Arabidopsis thaliana: one gene and its partners. Changing the gene in region 3 together with the main gene of any one other region gives a genetic interaction. Each region holds a gene or a part of one and is shown on either strand. Other genes may lie near its edges.

Region 1 (6,783 bases), on a different chromosome or scaffold from region 3:
TTAAACAATGGTATTGGCCAGAGGATGCAAGACTCAGGACGTTAGATACGATATGATATGTCGGAAAAAAATCACTTTCAGTCCTCATTAGATGATTAAGCTTCTTGTGATGATCACTTTCTTATTCTCCTTTATGTGGTTGTTAGGTGAGAGCTTTCGAGAGGCACTGTGGATCGTTGTCTCAGTACGGAATAAAGCACATGAGGTCGATTGCAAACATGTGCAACGCAGGGATTCAGATGAGGCAAATGGAGGAGGCAGCAATGCAGGCTTGTCCCACCATCCCTACCAGTCCTTGGAGCTCTCTTGACCGTGGATTCAGTGCTTGATCTTCGTCTCCGCCCTATATTAATCGATGTCCATTAATATCTTACTACCAATTATACTCCTTCCTATGTAGACAAGATGTTGTAAATATGGGATGCTTAAGTTCTTGATGTCACAGACAAAAGAAACAGTGATTGTAAGTAGTTGTTTCAAATAATCTTTGTTGTTCAAGTGATTTCAAGGCTTTAAGACAAATTAACACATATAAATGAGGCTTACACCATAATACGTTTACATGGTACATATATTGAGGATAACATCTATCACAATTTTTCTAATTTTGTAAAATACATATCAAGTACAATACGCATAGAGAGGATTAAGGCTTAGAGGAGTCATAGCGTTTACGTTCTTCTTGTATTGACTGGAAAATTCTGGCAGCATTCTCACTCGCGAGCTTTGCGTTGTGAGGTACCACCTTTATCACTCTCGTCACTCCTCCCCCATCTCTTGTTGTCTGAGTAACAGTTGTTCTTGTCGTCGTTGTGGTTGTTGTCATCGTTTGCTCAGGTGCATTGTTGATGTTGCTGTCCTCATCAACGGCTGCGAATGGCCGAAAGGACTTGCTACCAGAGATTCCCTGTGGCCCACTTGGACTGCTTCCTGTGCTCCCTTGCCTGCTCTTTCTTGCTCGCGGATAAGACTTTGTTGGCTGTTGCTGTTGCTGTGGAGCAGGTTCATTATCAGATCTCTGTTGTTGTTGTTGGGTGTTCTGAAGATTTCCAGGATGTCCAAACTGGTTCATTTGCTCATTGGGTTGTTGTTGTTGTTGTTGTTGGCTTGAACAATATGGGTTCATTATGGTGGGCATCATTCCATATGGAGGGAAGTAGCCATTACCAGGAGGTGGGAATCCCATGCCGGGGTGATATTGAGGCATTACCATTGGTGTAGGCATATAATGACCATAATATCCTCCATAATGCCCCGTGTGTGCCATACCTGGGTGAGGCTTGTATATCAGTCCTTCCGAGGGAGACATTACAGGGATCAACCATTGCTGATGATTTCCTGAAGGAGGAGGCTGAGGAGGAAAGCAATATCCATTTGGAGCCGGTGAAGCCGGTGGGTTGTTTGCAAAAGGCATGTAGTTGGATTGTTGATGATGACCTTGATTTGACAACCTCCCAACTACGTTCTCAGCTGAGCTTTCCATTTTATGTTGGTCAGTCTTCTCCGAGTCACCCCTTTGTTTGACGACAACATGTGGTAGAGGAGGCTTTACCAGAAATTCTGATGGAAGGAGCTTCTTCACTGGATAGCTTTTAGCAGAAACTTTTCCAAGAAAACTGATCTCATCGAGCAAGAGATCCGGTGATGCAGCAATAAGTTTTTGAACCTGATTATTACACAGTTGAAGAGGTTTGTTTCAGCTCGAGAAGAAACAAATACTCATGGAAACATATGAGAAGTTTCTGAATGACTTTACCTTAATCAGTCTGTGCAACTCAAATAGTTGAACAGCAAATACTCTTTGTTGACTGTAATGAGAAACAGAGTCACATTAAGAAGATTATCCATCAAAAGTTCAACAAAGAGAGACATAGTTTAGGTTGAACAGCTAATGGAACAATACGATCGAAATGAGATAGGAAAAAAGAAACAAGAATACATAGCCAATCAAAAAAGATAGAAGAAAACCAAATCAATGGGTCCAATGACATATTAAAGCATAGATAACAATGCAAAGGACGGGCTTATTGAAATCTAGCTTACAGCGCAGCTTATCCTCTGCAAAATGAGATGTCAGATATTTAACAAGAAGCAAGAAATAAAAATCTTATTATTTGCATTGGTCGTGAATCCGATACCTTACCATATGGATTAGAGTACATTGAACCTTAAAAGTTAAGTCATGAAGCCTACAATCATAAAAACTCTGTAGTTCACAACCACACTAAGGATCCTCTTAAGCAGTAGTAAGAAGAAACTATAATTCTGCATCGTCATAAGACTCAAAACTAACTTTACGTATGGTTAACTAAAATTTAGATCCTGGGGTCCTCGGAAAAACATTTCCCTACCTGGTTCAACCCCTTGAATGACAAGTAGGGAAAATGCCCAAGACGACAGTGCAGAATAAAAGCAATACCAAACCGAGACAGGGACATGTTCCAACAACCAGATGCAAAGAAGGTATAGTAATAAAGCCATCGGCGGGCACCTTGCACAATATAGGTCAACAGAGAATGTCCCTCCCTGCTATAACATGATCCAACGTGTTAAACGCGTTAATATTCTACCGAGGACTCTACAACTAAACACATAATAGGACCATTTTAGATGAATCAGGGGCCTCTCAACTATAGAACCATCACTTCTCAAGCATAAACCTGAAATCTCTTTCTCCCAAAATGAGACAGAATATGAAACTGAGTTATAGTCATATATGTATATCAGCAATCAATTGCAGCATTAATCATGAAAAAAAATATGAAGGAGAGTGTTCTAGAAATTTGAAATTTGGTGATAGTGAAATATGCCCTACCACAGTCCTCAATGAAAATAGCAAAAAACAACAGAGGAAAAAGCTTCAGTAAGACTACGGAACAATGCTTAAATATTAACTTCTTTCAAGCAAAAAATGTTGGTATCAAAGAAGGAGATAAATAGAAAGAGCGGAGAATAAATAACCAAACTGTAAATTTCTAGTGAACTTACTTGGCAATGGCTTTCCTTGCTCTCCAGAAACGTTTTTGACCTAATATACCCACAACATCATCGGGAGAGACATCTATGCTGGATATAGAATCCACCATCGAATCATCAGAAACGTCATCACTTGCCTCTTCATTTATCTGCTGCAGAGAGGCGCATGCTCTGCTTTTGCTGTATTCACGATCATTATCAATGTCTTCAGGACTGCCATGACCCTCTTGTGAATGATTTTCCGTTGCCAAGTGAGATTCAGCTCCATTATCAGTGTCCTTCAGACGAGTTTTGCCACCATCTCGGTATAACCGATTTCTAGACTCTTGTCTCAAGGAAGCATTATAATCATTTACTCTATCATGACTTGATGCTGATTTTTCGAGATCAATCTCCTCTGTGACTGATACATCTAAAGAGATTACAAAGCCACCTGACCTTGCATTCGCCTTGACCTGATCCCTAACTTCAGGTTTTGAACAAGTAGCCAAACATACGTTTTGCTTTGAGCCTGTCTGATTCACTTCTTGAAATCGAATGGAGTGATGAGAGCTAGGTGCCACCATTGGGGTGTGTTTTTCCTTCTCAATACCACTCTTGGTTCTGCCATGAGACTGAGATCTTCTTGAGTTAATATATACTGGAACTGCAAAATCTTCTTCCTCTCTCACCATTTTCCTCTGATCATGCTGTGCCGAAGATCTCACATTTTCCATGAAGGACATTTGGGAGACAAACTTCTCAGTTGCTTGGTTTGCGGCTGAAGAATCAAGATGCTGGACAGATAAGTTTCTTTCCACACCACAAGGCTGCATTGAAGAGGGTAAAAAAGGATTATTTCTCATGTCCTTGCAATAGTCTGAATGCTCAGGGCAATCACAAGAAACTTTCATCGAACTTCAGAACATAAAAAGAATCAGGCACAACAAGAATGTTAGTTTTAAGAAATAAACCACACTTAGATAAACTTGTGTCTACAAGACTCTCATATATACAGGAGAATTCAATCCTAAAAGCTCAATCCATAAGCAAAAAGAAGATACTATGATCTGATAACAATTGAAACATAGATCAACCAATGTCCTACTTTCTCTTTCAGGCTATATAACATCCAAACTCATACAACTAATAACATCAAGAGCCTATACAATGATCAAAATCAAAACAATACCTGACTAGATGGTCCAGGATGAACCAAAGTGCTTGTGTTGTTACTACGAGAATTCATCGTTCCATGATCACCAAACCTCTGAGAAGGAATACTAAGCTGCTCATAAAGAGCCATCTTGTTTCTAGGAGGAGCTCTAGGCCCTCCTTTATCTGCATCATTCACATGAAGCCGAGGAAACATAGGTTCCAATATCTTCTCCTCATCTTTCCCTCTCTTCATCACTCACAATTCACAACCTTTTTCACTTGCAAACTTCTCAAACCCCAAATAACCTAACTTCACACCAAAAATCTTCCCTTTCTCTTAATAATTCAACCTAAAAACTGAGAAAGACTCCAACTTTCACAACAATAAGCTTCAATAAAACAAACCCACCAATCAAATGAAATATCTTAACCCAAAGGACAAACTACGATAGAGATCTCACCACCAAACCAATCAGAGAAAACGAAATCGAAAAACAGACTAAAGAGGAATCAAACAAAACCAAAGTGAGTTTTCAACGTACTAATCGAGAAACAGAGTGGGTGAATCAAGTAGAGAGAGCAAAAAGGAACAAGATTCAGAGGAAGGAAGAAGATGACTTGTGAACAGAGAGAGGAAAGGGGCAAAAAGAGATAGGAAAAGTGGAGCCCAAAAAGATAGAAGGAGAGGATCTCTCTGGAGATATTATAGATTTAATCCATTTGGACATTTTTTTCACCACCGGAAAAGTGCGTGACGACGTGGACTCTTTTTGTCGTTGTAATAAGAAACTAGAAAGTAAAAAAAAAAAACATCATCCAATACATCACTTTTTGTTTTCTTTTAGGATACGTAAAATGTCATAGATATATTACCATGTTAGAGGTTCTTTGATCAGTGCTTTGTAATGTTGAATAAAAGATTGTTTTCAGCTAAATGAAGTCTGTTTGTTTTTTCTTTTCTAGCAAATGAGTGGAGTCATCGACACGATTAGATTACTTGAAGATTCTTTTCTAGGGTTGTATGAAATTATAGGGGAATATAATGTAATATATGTGGATGTGAAGAGTAATTATATAATCATGCAATCTTCCAACTCACTGAATGAGGAGAGCTCCGATCTGTTAGGGATTTCCAGAATTGAAAACAAGAATATGGAAGTTGAAGATCATGCATAAACTGAAACAATTTCTTTGGTGAAACACAGAGCCGGTCCAACGTTTTTAATGCCGACGTAAATTAAAAAAAACATGTATTTCTCATTTTTCATGAATTTCGTAAAATCGTTTCTGAATTTTATACAATCTTTTCTGAATTTCTTAGATATCTTTGGATCGACAAAGTCCGATCCATAGTCAATCCCTACTATGCGGGATAACGCGATTTAGTGGGATCGAACTCCAGTAGGGTGGGTAGGTGGAGTCAAATAGACACGCCCTATGTTTTGTTAAGTTGAAATCCAAAAATATGAGTGAAAGAAAATCCAAATAATATTTATCTTAAAAAAGCCTAAAATATAGTTTATGTTTAAAAAAGGAAACTTAAAAGATAATTTGTCTTAAAAATGCTTCCAAAATTTTGATGCCCAACTCCATTCATTTCCTTGCTTGGAATGTGGGCTAGGCGGCCCAGGCCTAGAGAAACATAGCAAAAGCTCTAGGAGCTGTGATACGTTATTGGAAATGTCCCACTTGGACACTCTTATTTACTAAAACACGTTTCAAATCCATAGGACTAATAATTGACAATATATACCAACGGTGATATGCTGCAGCTGAAGACATCAACCCCACATTTTTCACTTGTCCTGTATCTAACGTTGATATTGTCCCAATTACCTTGTCTCCCTTTGTTAACTCCATCAACAGTTTGTGAGAAAGAATATTAAGAGGTTTTTGGACATGTATCAATTACAAAACCTTTAGGATCATCAAAAGTTACTTCCGTTTTTAGATACTTTTATATATTGCTTATTCGGAAGTAAAGAAACAATCATATTTACCAAAACCAACAAGTGAATGTATCCTTCAAAAGATAGAAGTCCCAAGTTGTGATGCTAAGGAATGGATTGGGGCCTTTGTTATGTATAAAATAAATTTGCAGGGGTTCCAAAATCCACCAACTCAAACTATCATGGACTTGTCCTGTATGGTGTCGTAAAATGCAACTACGATCCATCTTACGAATAATTCTAAGCATGTTATATAATTGGGAGTGGTCGGATAGTGAGAAATCATTTCGGAGTTCAAAATACTCGGTGGCACTATGAATATATAGCACTAATACCTCTGGAAGCTTAAGGTAAGGAATTACCAATGGTACTCAAAATAGTTTGGTCATACGGTTATACTCGCTTTCACTCTAAAGGAGATTGCGAATTTTTGGTAAAGATTATCAAATATCAATGGATATTGATGTTGGAAATATGTAGAGATATCCAGTGGTGGAGCCAGGAATTTTATTTATAAGGGTCATGAAATATATAACCTAAAATGTTTCATCTTTCAAAATAAAAAATTCTCCCATTTATCCTTTTTGTTTAGTGTATCATCAAGTACTTTTTATCACCAATACACTTTTTGTTAATATATAATATATATTGTGGAGATTGATTAGTTGTTGTGTTTATATTCATGGCTTTTAGAAAAAAATTATTTTAGTAACTATTTTGA
Region 2 (4,704 bases), on a different chromosome or scaffold from region 3:
TTCTCCCGTCTTTGGCAGATTCGGAAAACTTGGATTTACCTTTCTTTGTTCCATTACTTTTAGACTTCGGATGTTTAGCTTTTTTTGCATTGGGAATTAGATGTGAACCATTTTCTGAAGGAGATTTTGAAGCACGCAATTCATCTTCTTTTTCTAATACTCTGTTCTTCTTGACCACATCTTCTGGAGTGCTAAAAAAACCATGATGCAGACCCTCTTTATGTTCAATATTGACAATGGAATCAGGCACAGAGTTGATAACTTCAGAATCTGGTGAAGTTTCAGCGTCCAGGGACTGCGTTCCAGTGGCCCTCTCGCACTCCTCAACCATTCTAATAGAGGAAAGGTGTGGGTCATCATCTAAAACATCACCACCCACCTTCCTACATAAACCCCCAGCGTCTTGGTTATATTTCTTATCCCTCATAGAATCAGATGACTGAAGATATGAAACTTTCTCCACAGGGTTGCTTTTCTCTACCAAGTCCTCTTTAGTTTCCACAGTTTGCATTTTATCCTCACCAAAATGTGCTGATCCTGGCAATTCTAAACATGTTCCTGCTTTTACAATACCATTACCAGGTAAGGAGTTACCACTGACCTTAGAGACTGTAATGTTCAGAGGATTTTGGCCACCTGATTTACCAAATTTAACTTTCAAACGAAGGCAAGAGCCACTTGATGCTTGGATGTTTCTGTTAGATCCTTCTACATTCCCGTTATGAGAACTTCTATTATGCTCTCCATTATTAAGATTTCCCTGAGATCTCTGTGGTTCATGATGCGGAGGTCCATCATAGGGAATATTATTGCTCTGTAAGAAGATTTCAGTGGTCTTGCTTGGTAATCCCCACTCAGATGAACGACTTGTTTTTAAAAGAGAGCTCCTCTTCTGCTTTGAGCACTTGAAAATTGACTCAATGTCTCTTTCTGATTGTTTCTTTCTAGAGGATTTTCTCAGATGGCGAGCACTCGTTTTTGTCTGCACCACTTTACATTGTTTCCCGTCTCGGGCCTTCCTTCGGGAAGAAGACATGCCAGCTTCACAAAAATCACTCCCTGATGCAGAAGCAACTTCACCACCTATTCTGCCATTGTCATCTACTATTCTGAGTGGCTCAACTGCATTTTCAGGATTACAGACTTCGATTCCTCCACTTCCAAAGTTCAATGGAAAATTCCATATCAAAGAAGAGTCAGTAATAGGGGAATTGGCTTCCATATCTAAAGTTTTTTCGTCTATGGGTGAACTCTGACTGAAATTTTCAGCTCTCAGATCAGCAGCCATACCATTATTCATACTCAAAGCGGCCACGGCACTTTCACTTGATGAATCCCCAACATGGTTTTTTAGCATCTTTTCATTCATCACGGAAAGATCAGTGTCAAGCCTATCCTCACGTACCAACTTCAAATCTGGATTGATCGTCTCTGTGACTGTGATCTTGTTAAGATCATGTGAACATAGGCCACCATCATCATTATTTAACATTTCTGTGATAGCTAATGAAGGGGATACAACAATAGTCCCATTGCCTTCAATATCAATTGCATCCTCCAGATAACTTTCTGTGGCGCTACAGCCAAATACACTAGAGTCCAATAACGAATCTGGAAACGAAAAACTCTGACTGAGAGATATATCATCAGAAGAACCAGTATCTAGATCACTCGATGGTCCATTTCTTCCTTCCTTACCTCCATCATCAAACCTATAACTAATACCATCACTTTCAACTTCATCAGGTTTTATGTGCTTTGTGGTTTCCAAAGACTCGAATTGTTCTGGTGCATCATTCACAAAAGTTGATTCCGTATCTATTCCACTGCCCCCTATAGGCAATGTTGTGCCACCATAACCTTCATCTTCTTTAGCCTGAGGAGCTTCTTTCTCTTGCATACTCCCAGAAAAAATGGATACAAGGGACACATTTGTGTCCTGACTTTCCTTTCCATCATCCAGCTTGTTGCAATTTACCAGTAAATCAGTATCACAAATTAATTCTTGACTTTGTTCAAGCTCACCTGAAACCACTCCCTGCTCCTGAGTGTCATCAGCATTGTAACAAACATATAGATCATCATCAGTGTTTCCAGCATCTTCTTGACTATTACTGTTCCCGTATCCCATCTGCTCAATCTCTGTAAAGCACTTCCTTTGGCCTTCAATCGTATGGTTTACAGATGAAGCAGTCTGAGGAATCTCCAAACTACTGACTGAATCTAAATTTTGCCCACGAGAACTCAATTTCTCATAGAAATCTTCATTGGTATTCATCGCAAGATTTGAGGCCAGAGAGTTAGCATCAATATTGCACCCAGAAGCGTCACCAACACCGTTTTCCTTACAGTCCATCGTAATGCTACCTGATTCAAAGCCAAACAAATAACATTCTCAAAAAAAGGGATTTTTAATGAAAAATCAGTAAGCTATTTAGTAAATCAAACTATGCAATGGTTCAAAGACCTTTAACAGATTCTCAATAGAACCCAGCCCCGTATTAACATGATCTACAAAATCAACCAAACAGAGACCCCAAAAAAAAAAAAAAAAAAAACTTAAGAAGGTCAACTCAAAGACCTAACACAAGACAATGGATGGCTCAATCATCAACATTGATGACAAAAACCCTCCGATCTCTTCTGATTTTAAACACGCCGCAACAGAGACTAAATAAAATAAAATAAAATCTTGTCACCTCCTGAAAATAACGAAACCCTAACCTCATGAATCAGAAGCGATTGAGCGAATGCCAACGAACGTAAAACTGGAGCACGAGTAACGGAGAAAACCCTAGAGAGGCGGAGAAGATTACGATATCAGATATAGAGAGAGGAGAAGGAATCGGAGGAAGTAGGGAAGAGACAACGCGAGGCGGTCAGTTTTTTCAGAGATACCGATTTTTTTTTTTTCTCTTTTTCAGTAAAATAAATTGTAAAATCCCCAAACGATACTATTTTGCTATTCCCAACTTATATTTTTTTGTTGTTGCTAATTTGTTTGATTTGGACTTGTGTGGGTCTTAGTTTTTTTATTTTATTTTAATCTCAATGATTACGATGAAAATTTAATTGACAAACAAAAAAATATTTATATTTTTCGATAAAGTCATAGGTTTTTTAAATCTTACCCAAACATATGTCAAAACAATAAAAGTTAGAACTTTTTTGTAGAGAAAATTCACACAAGCTTTTACTAAAAATACATTGCCAATTTATTTCCAAGATATTCAGATCTATTGGGGAGTTGTGTTCAATCAAAATGGTCCCAAAGGTGGTCCATAAAGACATGATTAGTCGTTTAATTAGCTTCTTTAGTCTATGATTACTTGATTAGTCGTTCGTTCTAATAAGATTCTCGCTAGTATTCTTCCATAATGGTTTATCATTAGAAAAAAGAAATATATATTGTATGTGTATATCAGAATAAAAGTTCATGTAATAACTTTAGTCTACCAAACCTAGCTAGTTGTATTATTATTTTACAATAAGACTCACACAGCCCCACTCATTCGCAATCATAACATCGGCGGAGACTTTCGCGACCAAGCAAGCGGGAATAAGTTTCATAGCTCCAGACAACGATGGTTAACTGACTTGTGTTCTCCTCGTTGAAGATGCAAATAAGTGCGATGATGATGAGCCAAGCATTTATCCGAATCAGAGTCTTGTTAACGATATTGAGTCACGGTTTGAATGTGACCAAACCCTTGCTATGATCCCTGTCATTAGAAGCCAAAAACGTGGAAGCTAAGGGGAGGATATTCATACACGAAGTCGCAGTATTTCTTCTTGTTGTCCACCTCATCCACTTCATCTTCTCATCCATATCATATATGTCGTCGGACACCGTCCATATTGAAGATGAATGAGCAGTTGCGGCGGAACTTAGAGGTTGGAGACTATGTCGACTTTATAAGAGATCAAAGAAGCATCACAATAAAAGAGAGAGCAGAAGAGTATCGCCATGATCCCTGGGAAGCGTGGAACTGCAAGGGTGTTATATAGGCTTATAGTGTTGTAGTTGTTGATAATTACTATATTTTGATGTTTGCATTACTGTCTGTCTATATGGAGCCATGGAGGTGATATCATAATCCAAGGGAGAATTAAGAGCTAAGAGAAAAACTTATGCTATCATCTAGCTACACATGATGCATAAAATCTGTGCCTAATTCATAGTTTTGATAATATGGAAACCAAGGAATGCTTTGATATATGACAATAAGCTATGGATCATCATTCCATTGCTAAAAAAAGAGAGAAAAACAATGGAGTTGAGAACAAAAATATGAGATGCGGGAATTGAACTAATCAAGTTATAATCTACTTGTACACATAACCATGTCCCACTCACTTCTCTCAACGCACTTTTGGATGCATCTTGGAAATATGAGAACAAACCATACGAACACTAAAACTAATTGTTTCGCTTTTGTATGATCAACAAAACAGACTTGTAGTTTGGAGTTGATGTAGTCTTACTGTAATGCCGTCTCTCGGTATTGACCTATTCCGACGCAGTTTCCTCAAGAACAATATTAATGCAAAAAGCAACAATTCTAAGGCAAATACATAAGCAAGGCAAGCAAAATAAAATTGTTGTCTCTTCGAATTTCTTAGAATAACTTATGTAACAACTCCTCGTTACTTGATGTTTCATTAATTAACGGACAAAACAAAGAATGACACATGATATTTTCA
Region 3 (6,460 bases):
TCCATCATGTATACGTCGAGCCATTTCAATGGCTGCAAAATTGGAAGCTGAGGTACGTGCAAGAGAGAGAAATACACGCATGGGAGAACCAGAAGGACATGAAGAACCGAGAGGCGCAGAAGAATCTATTTCGGCTCTAGGTGACTTGTTTGCAGACCTGAAATTTGCTCTCTCTGAAGAGGACCCTTGGAAAGCATTCGAGTTTTTAAAGCATGCTTGGAAGATTGCTGGCAAAATCAGACTAAAACCAACTTGTTCATTTTGATTTAATCTTAACATTATAGCAACTGCAAGGTCTTGATCATCTGTTAGTTGCGTACTAACTTATGTGTATTAGTATAACAAGAAAAGAGAATTAGAGAGATGGATTCTAATCCGGTGTTGCAGTACATCTTTTCTCCACCCGCAACCCTGTTTCTTTTCAGCTTGATTTCTAGTAGTTATTAGAATTCTGGAATGCATTTTTCACCTGATATAGTGAAGCATGATCTCCATCAATGTTGAATACGAAATATATTGTTCTAACTCTCTATTAATTCTGGTTTGTAACAATTTGAGAGTTTCAGAAAAGGAAAGAAGAAAGGAAGCAAGAAATATCCAGCAAACAGATCAACAAACGCATAAAAAAGTTAATCCAGAAGAGTCTTGGTTGGAAAAGCAAACTAGGGCACAAGCCAATGTCGAATTTCTTGCGGAACAACGGAAACTGGAGCTGCTGATGGTTACGTCTGTAAATCTAACGCGGATTTGATCTTGACAATAGTATGAGCCATGAGTGTCTCGACACTTTTGACAGTACCTTGAATGAGTGCAGCAGTTGGATTGATGCCCACCAAGATCTGAAGTCCAAATGTCAGTAGACATCCTCCACCAGTATTGCCTCTATGATATGACCCATTTACTCCATCTGGCACTATCGAAAATCCCGAAGGAAGAAACTTCACAGAATCTGAATTTTCACCTCTCTTGACCAGCTCAATAGAATTGGTTTCCACTGGTGCATACACCACCATTGCACCTGATGCATCATTCCAAATCTCTTGCAGAACCAGCATACCATTATTCTGTTTGCATTGCAAAACTCACGAAAATCAATGGAAACATAGACAAAACGACACTCATTAAACCAAAAATAAATGTTTTGAAACTCACAACGATTTTCAGAAGAGAGATGATGTTTCCATGGCGTTTTGCTTTTTGAATCCGGATTGTTTCTTCCATGGTAGTATCATTGGTCAAGATATCCCACTCGTGTCTGAAACTCAGGTGGCTAATGAAAGCAAAGAGTGTATGCTGGTTCACTGGGAGCCAAACAGAAGTGGATGCACTCAGCACAATCCCAGTTAGCTCACCAGGCTCATTCACGTTCTTTCGGATCATGAAACTCATGTTTTGTGCCACATTCTCCACCTGAATTTTCTGCCACTTGTCCACCGAAGGACTCGTAATACCTCTGTAGTAGTTGAGAGTCATTCGCTGTGCTAGCTTCACTATTTCAGTTGCACCTTTTGCAGACAATCCTATATCGAAAACATATATCACAATCAAGGCCTGTCCAAATTTAGTGGAGAACCGAAAATGACCTAAAAAGTAGTTGTAATGAGATTTATTCTATAATTTAAATAGCTTTCACCTGGACTAATTTCAGTCAAGTTGGTAGATGAAAGGGTCGAGAGGCTTTCGCAGTGTCTCTGCAGCGTCGCGAGCCATCTCTTTGCACCTAGCCCGATCCCATAGCCAATCAAAGGCTGGTAGAGTTGGTGGATGTGACTCTCATTATATTCCGCTTGTTCAATCCATGTAACCTGTGAAATCAAATCTCTATGTGTTATACATGTGGTGAATATAATAATAACCATTAACCATTTATTTATGTCTCCACAGTACAAGATGCTCTGATAGATCATTAATTATGATTGCGAGTAATAACAAGTGAACCAACATATATTGTTCAAAGAACAGGATTCAGAAGTAACCTGGGAGTACCCATTGGACAGGTCGTCTATGATAAGGCCTGAGGGTAGCCTCTTAGAACAACCATAGGGCAGCAAAGTCGGATTTTGAGTAGGAGTAACGTCGACGACCACCCATAAGCCCTGTCTGATCTCTTTGCAGTATCTAATAAACGTTACTTTTCTCTTTGGTACCAGCGGAGAAATTACTTGAAATTCTGCTTGAATCTGCCAAAATTATATGATCACAAATTTGAAATGTTTCTACTTCTCTTGGATTATCAACCAATATAGACGACTCAGAAAACTATATATATTATACCTGTTGGAGTGAGCCACTTTTGGTTCCACCAGAACCGGTAGATAGCACTTTATGGGTTGATGCCACAGGGACTATAGGTGCAAACACGTTGACCCATTTGCCCTGTTTAAAAAAAAAAAAAAAAAACTTGTTAACATTTCATGTAACAACATTTCACTAAAAAATGGGTGGTGGTTTAAAGGTTATTACTGTGTCCATAAGAGTCTTGACCAGAGTCACGCAAGTCATGGGAACTAAACCTTTAGCTCTTGAAGCCTCCACAATTTGCCCGGGAGGTTTTGTGACATTGTTGAAAGAACTTCTATACTTCTCATAGATCTTTGATACTCCTTTGGATCTAACGATTGGATCTATCATCCAAAATGGACAGTCCACTTCTCCCAATGTAATCAACTCTCTCAAAGCCGTAATGGCAAGATTCAGAAAAATTGATGTCTCCTTCTCAGACGTCCTAGTTCCACCACTAAAATCAAGTACTGGTGTTGCATTTATTCCTGGATTAGAGGAAGAAGAAGGCGCCTGTTCGGATGTACTGACCATCCTTTGTTTGGGATGAGAAAGGTATCTGGAATTGAACTGGTCTATCTCCCGCTCCAAGTTAGCATTCTCAGCCATAAGTTTTTGCACCTCATATTCAGTGTCTCCACAATTAGTTGCCTTACCACAAATGTTGCATAAACTACGTAGCATTGCGCTTCTAAGCTGATCCTGAGTTGCTAGCAATCTGTCATGCTCTTCTCTAAGAGTTACATTCTCAAGGTGGTCATTATTGATCTGCTTACCCAAAAAACCACACTCAATAATTATACCATAATCAAGGCAGATTTTGAGGATGAGAGAGAGAGGTGGTAAACTATATACAGTATTTGTTTTTAACATAGGGCAGAAACATGGTCCATAATACGGTACGTGCAAAGAATAAGAAAAGACACAGCCACATGCATGTATACACTTCTGTATTTTTTGGTACCTTCTCGAGATTTCTTTTATTCTGGAACCAATTCTTGACTTGATTGACACCCATATTAAGCCTTTGTCCAAGCTCGTACCTCTGTTCTTCAGTGGGATGAGGATTTTCCATGTAGAAACTACACTCATTTTAAAGTAAAGAGCAAAGTAAAGAGAAACATTCCAAACTCAAAATAAAAAAATAAAAAAAATAATAGGAAATGTTGCATGATGATGAAATGAAGAAGAAAGTGAACAAACTTTTCAAGTTCTTGAGTTTGATAAGCAGTGCGCCTATGGGTTCTTCTCATCCTTCCACCATCTTGATCATTAACACCAGACATATCATTAATCATATCAATCTCATCGCCTTCAGCTTCACCTGGTTTTGGAATGTTTCCAACCGCATCCAAATCACCTTGTCCATTCATTTTCCCTCAATGCAATAACCTGGACATTGCATACTATTAGTACTCGATATAGAGGTTTAGCTCCCTGGACATATAGTGAGTGTGATCAAATTAATACACGTATAAACTTTATATTAACCACCAAACAAAAAAGACTTAAAAAGTTTTTTCTTTTTGGTTTTAATGCTGAAGATTTTATCGATAAATTATGCCCCAAAAACACAATGTTAAGATTTACTACCAACCTAAGATTATTTACTATTTCATTCCAAAGTTTGACAATTGCAACAACTCAAAAGAGACAAAGCCAATCTAAACTGAAAAATAACAAAAAACAATCTGCTTTATACTGGAAAAGAAATACAACCAGAATAAAATTCAAGTAGAGAATGAACCAGTAAATGGTTCTTTTTGGAAGAAGAGAATTAAATTAACATTTCTAGTGTCTCGACAACGAACAAGACAAAAGAACTCAAAAATTTGGGATACCCATTGTAGAGTTAACACAATATTTTTCAAAGTACTTTACACATAAGCGAAAAACAGACAAATCGGGAACCAAAATCATTCTCTAAACAAAATGTAAAAAAATCTGATTTTTGGCTGAAAAAAACAACAAAAATCTGATTGTCAGTATCCTACAAATCGATAAATCGTAAGAAGAAAACATAAAAATAATATTAAAGTTGTGTGCTAAAAGCAACCTTAAACAACCAAATAGCACTTCGACCAATGTCGAAAAGCAAAAACCGTAAAGCGGTGCTCGTATGAATGTTGAATGGGATAAAGAGCGGCGCAAGATCTGATATTTGGCTGGAAAAAACAACAATAATCTGATTGTCAGTATCCCACAAATCGATAAATCGTAAGAAGAAAAACATAAAAATAATATTAAAGTTGTGTGCTAAAAGCAACCTTAAACAACCAAATAGCACTTGGACCAATGGCGAAAAGCAAAAACCCTAGAGCGGCGCTCGTATGAATGTTGAATGGGATAAGGTATATATGAGATTCTCGACGGAAAGATGTATGGGCTTCGATAAAGAATATATGAGATTCTCGACGGAAAGATGTATGGGCTTCGGCCCATAACTCTTTGATATTAGTATAGAACCATAACAAAAGAAAAAAAAAAAACCTTAAACAAGTAAACACTAAACCCAATTGATTCTTTACTAAATTTAGTAATCAATGGTTATTGTGAAATGAAATTTAACTTTTCTTTCATATGAAAAAAAAAATTGAAACCATCCATGGATGGCCTAGTTTTATTTAGATAACTAAATATCTATGTTTTGAAATAGTAATCTATTACATGACACAAGAACGAAGATTAACTAAATCGAGAAAGAAAAAAAAGTGTAGATTTGGTAGACGCTGAATATATAAAAAAACTAAAGTGATAAAACAAATTGTCTTTTTAAAAAAGTATGGAATTTTCAAATTTCCCATTCTTTCGGTATATGATGAGAACCTTCACATGGATTTTATTTTTAACAACAAAAATCAATGTTGAAAAGTGTATGTACCTATGAAACAAAATCAGGGTCTTAACTAGTTTTTTGTTTTGGTTTTGGTTTTAATCTTTTCTAGTTGCTTTGCCTTATTTATAAGCGCAGATGAGGAAGAGAAAGGCGAAGGCACATCAGCTGCATGGGACGTTGCTGAAGCTGTGGCGCTCTCATTGTGTGATATCTTCAATCTCTGTTAATAGCTTTGTAATGGTGGTAACAATCCAAAAATACCCAATTACAATCTTATAAGTACCAATCATCATCCATCCTATGGTTTTTCTTTTTTAAACAAAATCCGATATAAAATTAATAAAAATCTATTGTATTAACACTAAAGGTCTATTTACGAAAATTTATAGTTACAATGATATGAAATGATAGAAAAAATGAAAGATTATAAAATTGTATTGACCGAAAAAAGAAGTTTAATATATATATATATATATAGGGATACTCATTAGAAAATCTATATGCTTAGTGAAAAATGACTCCTTCCCATAATATTAAAAACAGATAAACGAAATTGTTAACTAAATTTATTCAACAATAATAAACTTTTAACAATGACAGGTCACACTTTAAATGGAAATATGCATTGATAGACTTTCTCGGTTGAAGTTGTAACTCTAGATTTATTTTTGTAGAATTTAAAGATGTATTTTGTTCCTTTTGTTGTGAGCTATGAAATTAATACCTTATAATTGTAGGTTTTAGGAAGCGGTTGATGTATAGCATGTGCAGAGTAAGCTCGAAATGGCTGAGACGAAAAAAAGTGTCGCCACAATGATTTACTTTTTACTACTATACTTTTGATCATTGGGACCTAATGGATGAATGTTGTGTGTTGTGGACGAGTTTATGACACATAACAATATTGTAGACAAATTGTCTAATTTGAGTAGAGATACTAAAATTTATCTCCATATAATTGTATACTGTATATGTATAACAAATAATTCAATTCATTGGCCTAAGATGTTTTATTGTATCTTTGTAGAATTTTACACTTTAGAGAAAAATCATTGCAATAACTCGATGAAAAAAAATGTTTATCTTATCCTAGTTACAACTAACTATCTATCTATCTCTTTGTGGTAGGAGATTTGCATCTGATCGAACGATTCATATGGTGCCACGTAACTATGGTCCCACTTCTATTACGAGATCTACTAAGACATCAGCACGTGTCGGTGTCGTTTGATCCACGAGGTCGGTGACGCTTAGAGCTAGTTGACCGGTACAGTCGGTTATTACCGGTTATACTATATGTATGTTTTTTGGTCAAAGATTTGGAGCTATTTTATAGTTAATAAA

What was found. A genetic interaction does not mean that the proteins touch.
Region 1: of FWA (region 3) and ELF3, changing one suppresses a phenotype caused by changing the other (phenotypic suppression), as found in Arabidopsis thaliana (one study listed by BioGRID).
Region 2: of FWA (region 3) and EFS, changing one suppresses a phenotype caused by changing the other (phenotypic suppression), as found in Arabidopsis thaliana (one study listed by BioGRID).

What each region holds. Positions count from the first base shown.
Region 1 is NC_003071.7:11,057,042-11,063,824, reverse strand, and holds ELF3 (hydroxyproline-rich glycoprotein family protein), read right to left. Parts: upstream 4,882-6,783; 5' UTR 4,367-4,881; coding exon 4,148-4,366; intron 3,948-4,147; exon of another isoform or gene 3,786-3,947; coding exon 2,989-3,785; intron 1,809-2,988; coding exon 1,757-1,808; intron 1,667-1,756; coding exon 647-1,666; 3' UTR 501-646; downstream 1-500. Other genes in the region: ALPHA-VPE (alpha-vacuolar processing enzyme), read left to right, coding at 147-329. UniProt on the Arabidopsis thaliana protein: May be a transcription factor part of a circadian clock input pathway. Acts within a 'zeitnehmer' feedback loop and is involved in its own circadian regulation. Has no role in regulating circadian clock function in the dark.
Region 2 is NC_003070.9:29,046,455-29,051,158, forward strand, and holds the start of EFS (histone-lysine N-methyltransferase), read right to left. Parts: upstream 3,001-4,704; 5' UTR 2,725-3,000; intron 2,368-2,724; 5' UTR 2,357-2,367; coding exon 1-2,356. UniProt on the Arabidopsis thaliana protein: Histone methyltransferase involved in di and tri-methylation of 'Lys-36' of histone H3 (H3K36me2 and H3K36me3). Binds to H3 already mono- or di-methylated on 'Lys-4'(H3K4me1 or H3K4me2), but not to H3K4me3.
Region 3 is NC_003075.7:13,036,505-13,042,964, reverse strand, and holds FWA (FLOWERING WAGENINGEN), read right to left. Parts: upstream 4,606-6,460; 5' UTR 4,548-4,605; intron 4,446-4,547; 5' UTR 4,337-4,445; intron 3,673-4,336; 5' UTR 3,654-3,672; coding exon 3,484-3,653; intron 3,363-3,483; coding exon 3,245-3,362; intron 3,049-3,244; coding exon 2,464-3,048; intron 2,377-2,463; coding exon 2,275-2,376; intron 2,181-2,274; coding exon 1,977-2,180; intron 1,806-1,976; coding exon 1,634-1,805; intron 1,521-1,633; coding exon 1,153-1,520; intron 1,065-1,152; coding exon 723-1,064; 3' UTR 501-722; downstream 1-500. Other genes in the region: homolog of DNA mismatch repair protein MSH3, read left to right, coding at 1-265.